Nothobranchius furzeri: one gene and its partner. The protein of the gene in region 1 interacts with the protein of each later gene in a biochemical or structural test. Links are inferred from orthologs where the notes say so. Each region holds a gene or a part of one and is shown in the gene's direction. Other genes may lie near its edges.

What was found.
Region 2: the proteins of shc1 (region 1) and inpp5d form a complex in vitro, tested with the Homo sapiens proteins (2 studies listed by BioGRID and IntAct, with this or other methods). The link is inferred for Nothobranchius furzeri from reciprocal best matches to the Homo sapiens genes SHC1 and INPP5D.

The regions. Positions count from the first base shown.
Region 1 is NC_091745.1:78,656,681-78,662,009, forward strand, and holds the start of shc1 (SHC-transforming protein 1), read left to right. Parts: upstream 1-1,953; 5' UTR 1,954-2,171; coding exon 2,172-2,768; intron 2,769-5,329. UniProt on the Homo sapiens protein: Signaling adapter that couples activated growth factor receptors to signaling pathways. Participates in a signaling cascade initiated by activated KIT and KITLG/SCF.
Region 2 is NC_091756.1:60,958,412-60,963,773, forward strand, and holds the start of inpp5d (phosphatidylinositol 3,4,5-trisphosphate 5-phosphatase 1), read left to right. Parts: upstream 1-1,851; 5' UTR 1,852-1,976; coding exon 1,977-2,128; intron 2,129-2,521; coding exon 2,522-2,585; intron 2,586-5,362. UniProt on the Homo sapiens protein: Phosphatidylinositol (PtdIns) phosphatase that specifically hydrolyzes the 5-phosphate of phosphatidylinositol-3,4,5-trisphosphate (PtdIns(3,4,5)P3) to produce PtdIns(3,4)P2, thereby negatively regulating the PI3K (phosphoinositide 3-kinase) pathways.

The DNA.
Region 1 (5,329 bases):
CCTTCTGCCATGCGTCCAGCGCCTTCTACAGCCTCGAGCGCTGTGGCTCATTTCTGAAATGACAACAGGAAGTGTTGGCATTACTGAGACATCAGTGCCATACTCACAACCTTAATTTGACTTGTCTGGATAATAAGTGTGTCATTTGTTGGTGATTGTAAAGGTTGGTGTGTTGTACGTTTGAATAATGCCTCTACAGCACTAAGGTGTAGGCCAGCCGGCTGGCTGAGGGTTGTAGGTGTGGCCTTGCCTCCTACTGAGGTCACTTTGGAGACTATTAATAAAACAGACTGTACTTTAGATTGGACTATGCAGAATATGAGATGCTTGTGGGCTTAACTTGCTTGATAAGCCTTAGAAAAATAGGGACGCTGTTCTGGATTATAGCACGGCGATTCGTTCATATCGGTGTCAATACTGTTCTCTCAGGTAAACAACTATAATCTGTGTCCATGCTAGTACCGAGTCAGGAGCTGAGTGCAGTCTTAACCCAGCGGGTTCATTTACAACACCAGTGGGTCTCCATTCAGGGAACCCTAAGTTGGGGGTCCAAGCCTGACCAATCAGGGCTTGTTATCGTCTCAACAGGCCCACCGGTAGTCATCGTCATCCTATGACCTACATTCTGCCGTGTTACATCACCACTGTGCTACTGCAGTGTGTCTCGCTGTACCAGACAGACATCTCAGACTCAACTTTACCACGATCAAATGGTGCTCCAGCAACAAAACACACCGTGACCAAGGTGGCCAGTTCTACAGAACACACGAACCAAGGCAGGCCATTTCAGGAACCTCAGTCAGGAACGGGCTCAGCTCTAAGCCCAGTCTTAATTACTAACTTTTCACTTTCTTTTGGTTTTATATCGGCGTCTAAAGCCAACATGTCTAGCCTCTAGCCATCCGCGGTCCTTAACGTAAAGAGGCGCAACGACAGGGCTCAGTATTTAGCATACAAGTGTGGGACTGTTAAACAAGGCAGCCTGGAGAACGGGCGAGCAATCGAGGGAGGGGGAGAGGGGGACCGAGAGATCGTTTGGAAGAGGAGAGAGGAAGTGGTGGCACGGGAGAGGGCGGAGGCGTTGGAGAAGCAGAGGCTGGCAGAGTACATCGTGTGGAGGAAGAGAGAGGACTTCCAGGATAAGAGAGGAGAAAGAGAGAAGGGAGGGAAGAGCTCAGAGAAGGGAAGGGAGTCTTCACCAGAAGTGATCTGGAAGAGGAGAGAAGAAGGAGACGTTGGGAGGGAGAGAGCAAGGGCCATTCAGAGAGGACATGAAAGCATCTGGACGAAGGGGGAGAGGGAGTAGAAAGGGGAGCCAGATTTAAGAATAGTCGTGAAAAGTTGAAGCGACTGCACGACTGCAGAGTTTGAGAGCCTCCTCTCTCTTCTTCCGTGGCTCTGCAGGTGTTCGCTGTATTATCGACCAGCCGAGGTTGTGTTTTATGTGTTGCTGCTGTGTTAGCGTGTGCAGCCCCTTCTGCAATCCCCTTGTTGGCTGCTAATAGGAATTTTACAGGCCTATGTCAAGCGTGATAGAGCTGCCAAAGGGGAGCTGCTACACACACGCACACACACTCGGTTTACACTGCCATGTAGACGCGTCACAAACTGATGTACACACCTTTTTGTGCAGTAACACACACACACACACACACACACACACACACACACACGCACAAGGAGCATTCAGAGACAATCACTTGTGTTGGTTCGTCGTGGTGCTGGCGACAGCTGAATAGTCGTCCGGCACTCGGAGACGATTAAGTTGGGACGAGAAATCGTTTAGCATCGTGGCTGAAGACCATCGCTCTACGGAGAGCTGAGAACGTGTTTTCGTCCATTCAGGGGAACTCGGCGAACAAAAGCAAAAAACACCAAAAGAAACTGATGACAACATGAGCTGTTCTGGTGCTCTACAACACTTTTTTCATCTGCTCCCCACCGCTGCTGAGGAGGCCCCACCTTTCCGCAGCACCTCCTCTCCTCCTGCTCTCAGTGTGGATAAAGCCAGTTGTGAAGCGGTTTGGTGCGGGCTGCCTGAGCGGCGGACAGATGGACGCAGCTCCTACACAGACAGATACTTGAGTGTCCTTCCAGAGAAAAACTTTGAGTCGTGAGACAAAAAGACTTGGCTTGAAGCTCTGCAGCCTAAGAGGACCTATAAATAATACATGATGGAGCTCATGCAGAAAACCAAGTACACCCACATTCGGAGTGAGTCGCTGAGCTCAACAGATGAGACCAACTCCATTCCGTCGCCGTTCCCTCCATCCAGCCCCGCCACCCCTCTGACTCCCTCCCCTGGTTTGCCTTCTTCCTTCTCCTCCTCGTCTCTCACTGCCATTTTGCCCCCCACCTCCCCGCGCCCAGCTGAGAACAGCCCCACCACCCTCTGCTCCTTCTTCCCCAGTATGAGATCCCTTCGTCTCGGGGTCACTGGCACTCTTCTCCCAGTGCCCAGGTTCTCAAACAGGTCTCAGCAGTCCCAGGCACCTGTTGAGTCATCTGGAGATGATAGGAGCAACTCTAGCTCCTCCCCTACTCTTCATCAACCCATTCCCACACTAACTGCTCCCTCTCCCCCTCGCCGACCTCCTCTGCAGGACATGAACCGGCTCGGAGGAGCGTCCAGGAGGGCACGGGTGGAAGGAGGGCAGCTGGGAGGAGACGAGTGGACGCGCCATGGCTCCTTTGTCAACAAGCCCACCCGTGGCTGGCTGCATTCTGACAACGTGATCAGCACCACGGGAGTTTCCTATACTGTTCGGGTGAGTGAGTGGCACACTTCAACTGTCCAGCCTGTATTTTTATTATTATTTTTTATTTATTTATTTATCTCAAACCATCGAAAACATGAAATTGCATATGCACTCCCCCATATTCCTGGTGCATACAAAAAAAAATTTTTTTTTTTTTAAATGAGGAATACGATAAACATATGCTGTTGAATGAAACAATACAAAACATACAATAACATAAAACCATTTGAGAGGGAACTGGAAGAAGCAAAAGCTTATCTAGTCCAGCCCCAATTCAGTTAATAAATCACATTTGCTCACATTAACAAATTTGAAAGAAAAAAAAAATTCTTTATGCAGGTCGTTCTATCTTCACCTTGCTAGTTGCTACATAAAAAGACAGTTACAAAACAATTGTTCACATGAATCTACAGAAAAAAGAAAACAAAACCAATAAACAACAAAAACAAAATATTCCATTTGAAGCCAATTACCATTTTTATCACTTGCTATTTACGTATGAGTCAATTATGAGTTGTTTATACAACATTTTAAATGATCTAATGTTTTTACATAATTTTAAAGTCACATCAAGTTTGTTCCACAGTTTGATACCACATACAGATACACACATACTTTTCATAGTTGTTCGGTATAATGGAAAAATGAAGTTTTTAACGCCTCTCAATTCATAACCCTCTTCATGAGTTTTAAACAACCTTTGCAAATTACACGGCAGTACACCCATCATGGCCCTATACGGTACAAGGACAGTTTTAAATTGAATTAAGTCAAAAAATTTGAGTAATCTTAAATTGTAGAATAATGGAGTTGTATGATCTCTATATCCAGAATTTATAATTATCCTTACCACTCTTTTTTGGAGAACACAAATCTTTAATAAATTAGATTTATAAGTATTGCCCCATACTTCGACACAATATGATAAGTATGGTAGAATCATAGTACAATAAAGTGTGTGTAGTGCTTTCTGTGGTAGAGAATATCTTGTTTTATTTATTATTCCAATGCTTCTGGCTAATTTAGAACACACATATTGTATGTATGGCTTCCAACAGAGCTTATGATCAATCAATATCCCCAAAAACTTAATTTCATACACTCTTTCAATGGCTATTTCATTAACAGTCAAATAGATTTCTTTACTACTTCTTTTATTTCCAAATAACATCAACTTTGTTTTGCTGACATTTAACGACAGTTTGTTTTTATCAAACCAATTCTTAAGCTCACTCAATTCATTCTGGACCTTTAGTATAAGTTGCTGTATATCTTCTGCTGAACACAAAATATTTGTATCATCAGCAAACATAATAAATTTAAATAATTTTGAAGTTGTGTAAATATCATTTATATATAACAGAAATAACTTTGGGCCAAGTACCGACCCTTGCGGAACTCCACAGTGAACTTCGAGACAGCTAGACTTGTGATAGCCCAACTGCACATACTGAGCTCTGTTACTCAAATAACTTTTTAGCCAATTGAGAGCTGTCTCCCTTATACCACACTTCTCCATTTTTGATAAAAGTATTTTGTGATCGACTGTATCAAAGGCTTTCTTCAAATCAATAAAAATTCCCAGTAGAGCCCTGCACGGGCCTAAAATCTGAGCCCGTGTCCGGCCCGGCCCGAGGGGGTGGAGCCCCAGCCCGACCCGGCCCAAAAAGGTTTTCAGGATTCTCTGGCCCGGCCCGAGCCCAAGCCCGACTTTTTTTTAACCAACTAAATGAAAACAAAGTGCGTCAATCCTGACCAATGTGTTAAAAGACGTGCAGGATCCGAGCGTCGCAGAAGCGCATGCGGGAAGCTTACTTCCACTGAAGCGAGTGTTTTCCAAACCCTGTCTCTCAGAGAGACTTGTCACTTAGAAAATGTTCCCTGATTATGAAACTTTGGCTGAATAGCGCTTGTTCCTGTCTCCAATGTGCGACACATCCAGGAGCCGTCTGAGGAGAATCCCAGAATCTCACATCCTCTTCAGCTCATGAGCGCATATGATTACGCACAAGCGTGACCCAACACGGTCTCACAGTAAGACTGGGTTGGACCTGTTCAGGTTTACGCAGACAATCTTCACATAGAATTGACTTACAGATATAAAATTAATGCAGTAAAATATAAAGCATTTTATTTAAATATCCATTCATTATTTTACAAGCACAGAGAGCCGCATCAGATGGATGGAAGAGCTGCGGGTTGCCGATCCCTGCTCTAGTTCAAGATATCATTAAAATTCCAAAAGTGCTGAAAAGATTAAAAATGGGGCTTTTCGTGCACATACAATACATTATGGTAGCCACCGGGATTCCCTGTCTTGAGCGCAACAAACCACAACACAGATTCAGAGACGTGCTGAGTTTGTCATCCAAAATGCTCCGTTTTATAACTTTTGAATGGCTGATCAGATTCAAATAATTCCAACGGTTCCTAAAAGTACATCAAAGCAGCTTTCCAACGATCTATAGCATGAAGCAATCAGAGTTAGATAAAATATCGCTAAGAGGGGAAATCCTGCTGTACAGCCTGATTGAAACGGAGCGCAGCGCTGCGGTGAAAGCGGATAACCT
Region 2 (5,362 bases), on another chromosome or scaffold:
TTTGGACTACTCAAATATCCTGCTGCTGCCTCCCTTGGAAGTTTTGTGAACTATTATTCATTCATTTCCGCCGAAGACAAAATGCAGAAGTGTGATAAAGGTCTACAGTAGAAGTATAATCCTCCTTTGTTCATAAATTCTTGTCTAATTAATTAACCTGCAATCAAATCAGCTTATGAATATTTGAGTTGTGTGTCTTTGTTACATCATGAATGGGAAGAGGTGTGATGACTTGCAGTGACGTCGGTGTTGGACAACTTCAAAATGAAATGTGTACGTGCCCAATCTTAATCTTGTACATTAATCGTAAGACGAATGAAACACACTGTTGTTAGTTATTTTTAGTATCGTCGCTATTGTTTATATTTAAACTGTATTTAGCTCTGTTATCAGCTGGTGTCATGGGTGATTCTGCAGGTTGAGTGCTTTGCAGTCTTGTTTCTGGTTTTATTGTATTTTTGGTACTTCCTGTTTTATTTTGTGCATTCACTTCCTGTCTCATTACAGGCAGCTTCACGACATGAGGCTCCTCACTAATCTGCCTCATGTCTTGCACCTGGGTCCTGGCTTCTCCATTTAAGCATCTTTGCAACAGTTTCCTTTGCCAGTTTGTCTTCTTCAGTTGAGTACTGTGAACCTGCTCTCAGTAACACTTTGTGAGAGTGTATTTGGTTAGTTTTGGACTTGTTCAGTTGTGCTGTACTGCCAGGAATCCCTTCTGCTGATTAAAACTGTGTGAGCTCTGCATTTGAGTCCTCTTTGTGCTTTGATAGCTGGAAACCTTTATGATGGTTTTCTGATCTTTTGAATCAAAACCCTTTAGGATGTGATCAGATACTTGGAGTTGTTGGAAGTTGTGGCTCCAAACACACCCCGCATGCCTGCATGTGGAACATATGAACTGTCTCCATGCAAAATAGCAATGCAAACGTGAGTTTTGAAAAAAAAAACTAATGTTTTCATTGTTTGTCCTCTATGATTCTCTGGTGTACATATGTTGTTTTTCAGGTTTTCTGCTCCACTGTTGCATGACTTGACTGAACACTTCAATGATTATGTTTGGCAGCATTACTGAGGTATAACAACGGTTCAGTTTGGACACGGATTCTTATTTTGCTCTCTATAGTTCTGAGTAAGGTTGCAGTAGCCTTAAACCTGCTTTAAATGGAGGCCCAGTAACCTCCAAGACTTGCCACCACGTAGTTCTGTTTTCATGTCATGTGACCCATGCTGTGGTTTGTAAGCGGCTCATTTTTTCCTCCTGTTTCTGCAAGACTTCCTGTCCATCACATGAACACAGCCAGTCACCTTGAATGCGTATTTCCTGAACGTACATGCTGTGTGTAGAACCTGGCATTTTCATTACCCAGGATTAAAAATGGTGCCAGTTCCATTCAGGCTGAGGGATTTTCCGTGGATAAGTGTGGGGTTTTTACTGTCAGAGACCAAGAATTATCAGGGTTTTAAAAAATAAAAAACACCTCCAAAAATCTGTCGTTTGGAGTCTTTTCTACCGCTACAGTGCAATTACAAAGTGTCATTGGGTTTTTGCTTATGCTCCCACTTTCACTTCATCTAACTCAGTTATTTAATTATTTATTCCCATATTTGACATTTCCTGATCAGAATAAACACTTACATATGGTATATTAGTACACAGGGCCTACCAAGCGACGTGTGTTAGTTATTAGACGTGTGATGAAAGCTGTTCCTGTGCAAATGAAACTTTGCATCTCCATTTTACAACACTGAGATCAAGACAGCAAGCGCCAGGGCCCTCCTCTCTGTAACTTCTCAAATGAGGAAGTTCAGAGCAGAGCTCAAAGCTGCTTCCTTTTGCAGCTAGAAGAGGCGCAGAATGATCAAGCGCTAGAGCCGAAAGCTGAAAAGTTGCCACAGAAAAAGAAGTCTGTATTAGATTGTTTGATTTCTAAAATTTTAGAGCAGATGCTAAAAACTTGAGCTGAGGCTCTTGGATGAGTAACAGAATGCCAGGTTTTCCACCTTGGTACCATGACAGTTTAACGCGATCCAAAGCTGAGGATTTACTCTCCAAAGCAGCAAGAGATGGAAGCTTCCTAATCCGGGACAGCGAGTCTGTACAGGGAGCTTACGCCCTCTGTGTTTTGTGAGTAACTTTTATTTAATTAATAGAGATGTAGCTAATAGATTATCTCTTAACCTGATGACTCGTGTTCACAGAACACCTGTGCTGTGGGCTCTGAAGGAGGGGTGTATGGCTCCTTTACATGTTTCCTATGTTAAGCACTTTCACATCACATACACACACAAACACACACACATGTATGCATATACACACTCACACACTGGTTCCCCTTTTTTGCATCCTGTGGTGCTCAATAACTTCACCCTTTGCCTGCTGCGCCTCTTTTGTGTAAAATCATGACGTGGTGAACTTTATTTTTAAGAAGCCACTGAATGTGTTGGCTAAAGTTTCTCATCCTTCATACTGTTTGCTTTATTTCACCGACTGACATTTGCATTTTGTTGCCAACCACAGATATCAGAACTGTGTGTACACGTACAGAATCCTGCCAAACGAGGACAAGAAGCTCTCTGTTGAGGTAGGTAAACAGTCTGGCTAAAGGTCGGACGATTAAACGAACAGGATGATGTAAATGTCTATAAATAAATAAAAACAGGATCTCCGGTCTTCGGATACAACTGTTACTGTTAAACTGCAACCTATTGGACAGATGCACCAAGGTGCAATCTAGTCTTCCAAAGGTTATTAGAAGCCGTCTTTGGTTACATTTGCACTGTTGATTTTTAACAACATTAATGGTCCTCAGAGAACGAAAGCTTGAAATTACTCTCCATCAAGGGCAAAAGAGTAGAAAGATGTATTGCATGGTACCCCATTGTTCGTCATTAACTAGAAGAATAAAACTTATCTTTGAGCCGTTGTACAGATATTTTGTCGGACCATATTAGCCTCGAGGCAGTCTCTGCTCCCACATCAAACCAATCTCTCTTGGGCCCTTTGATCAGCTCCATCCAGAGGGTAATTGACTAATGACTTATGCATTTGGGAAAAGTTGGGGGGGGGGGGGGTCTGGTTGGTTGGATGTCTGGTTGGTTGGATGTACATATTATTTTGGGGTGGGATTGAGAAGGTGGCCTCTGGCTCTATGGGGCTCTGGTGCTGCTGCCATGGGCCCTGGGTAGAGAGGCCAGGGCTCTCCCCTTGGTGGATTTGGGTAAAGGGTGTGTGTTGGGGTCAGTGGGGGAGCTGCCTGGCTCAGAGGGCTTCAACACCACATTGGAGATGGTGGAAAAAGACTTGGGGTCTTTTCACGCCCCAGTTCCCTGCTCACACCCCAGAGCTGGAGGCTGGGAGTGGGAGCTGGCCATTTAATCAGCGTCTGTGATGATCTGTTGCTTTGTGACTCCGGTGGGCAGGGTGGTGTGCTCATCATCAATCCCAGATCCTGTGCTGGGTGATAGGACACCTGCTGGCTTGCTCCCCACAGCTTTTTGGTGGTCTAGGCTGTCAGCCTCTGCTAGGTCTCTGTCATGGTCTGAGCACCCAGAGTCAATGAGTCATCTGGGCCGGTGTCAGTACGGATCTGCTCGGGTGCAAGATCGGCTCGGGGTCCTTCGACTGCCGATGACGTCAAAGTTCGGCAAGCCCACTCGGACAAAATACACTACTCATCTATACTGTTGGAAAGAATTGAGCAGTTTTGTTATTAAAATAATGTTTCTTAAGACGTACGTTTGTGTTTATAATGGTATTTGTAAAATAAAACACTATATTGTATTCATAATGTTGAACTCCTCTTTGAGCACATCCCTTGAAGAATCATAGGTATTAGCAACACCTATGAAATTGTATTTGCAGGAAAGAAGTGTGTCCCGTTTATTGAAGTATTTTGTGTTTAGAGTTTTTGACATCTTGTCCATGCGTAGTTCAGGTACGCTCATAGCTGCTAGCCAAAACTCGTCTTTGTCTTCTTCTTCGTCTTCCTCCGCTTATCCGGGTCCGGGTCGCGGGGGCAGCATCCCAATTAGGGAGCTCCAGGCCGTCCTCTCCCCGGCCTTGTCCACCAGCTCCTCCGGCAGGACCCCAAGGCGTTCCCGGACCAGATTGGAGATGTAACCTCTCCAACTTGTCCTGGGTCGACCCGGGGGCCTTCTGCCGGCAGGACATGCCCGAAACACCTCCCCGGGGAGGCGTCCAGGAGGCATCCTGACCAGATGCCCAAACCACCTCAACTGGCTCCTTTCGATCCGGAGGAGCAGCGGTTCTACTCCGAGTCCCTCCCGAATGTCCGAGCTCCTCACCCTATCTCTAAGGCTGAGCCCGGCCACCCTACGGAGGAAACTCATTTCGGCCGCTTGTATCCGCGATCTCGTTCTTTCGGTCATTACCCAAAGCTCATGACCATAGGTGAGGATTGGGACGTAGATCGACCGGTAAATCGAGAGCCTGGCTTTCTGGCTCAATTCCCTCTTCCCCACGACAGATCGGCTCAGCGTCCGCATCACTGCAGATGCCGAACCAATCCGCCTGTCGATCTCCCGATCCCTCCTACCCTCACTCGTGAACAAGACCCCGAGATACTTAAACTCCTCCACTTGAGGTAGGACCTCTCCCCCGACCCGGAGGTGGCAAGCCACCCTTTTCCGGTCGAGAACCATGGTCTCAGATTTGGAGGTGCTGATCCTCATCCCAGCCGCTTCACATTCGGCCGCGAACCTACCCAGCAAGAGCTGAAGGTCAGAGCTGGATGAAGCTAGGAGGACCACATCATCCGCAAAAAGCAGAGACGAGATTCTCCTGCCACCAAACTCGACACACTCCACACCACGGCTGCGTCTAGAAATTCTGTCCATAAAAGTGATGAACAGAACCGGTGACAAAGGGCAGCCCTGGCGGAGTCCAACCCTCACTGGGAACAGGTCCGACTTACTACCGGCTATGCGGACCAAACTCACGCTCCTCTGGTAAAGGGACTGAATGGCCCTTAACAGAAAGCCACCCACCCCATACTCCTGGAGCGTCCCCCACAGGGTGCCCCTGGGGACACGGTCATAAGCCTTCTCCAAATCCACAAAGCACATGTGGATTGGTTGGGCAAACTCCCATGCCCCCTCCATCACCCTTGCAAGGGTATAGAGCTGGTCCACAGTTCCACGGCCAGGACGAAAACCACATTGCTCCTCCTCTATCTGAGATTGAACTATCGATCGGACCCTCCTCTCCAGTACCTTGGCGTAGACCTTTCCAGGGAGGCTGAGGAGTGTGATCCCCCTATAGTTGGAACACACCCTCAGGTCACCCTTCTTAAAGATGGGGACCACCACCCCGGTCTGCCACTCCCTAGGAACTGCCCCC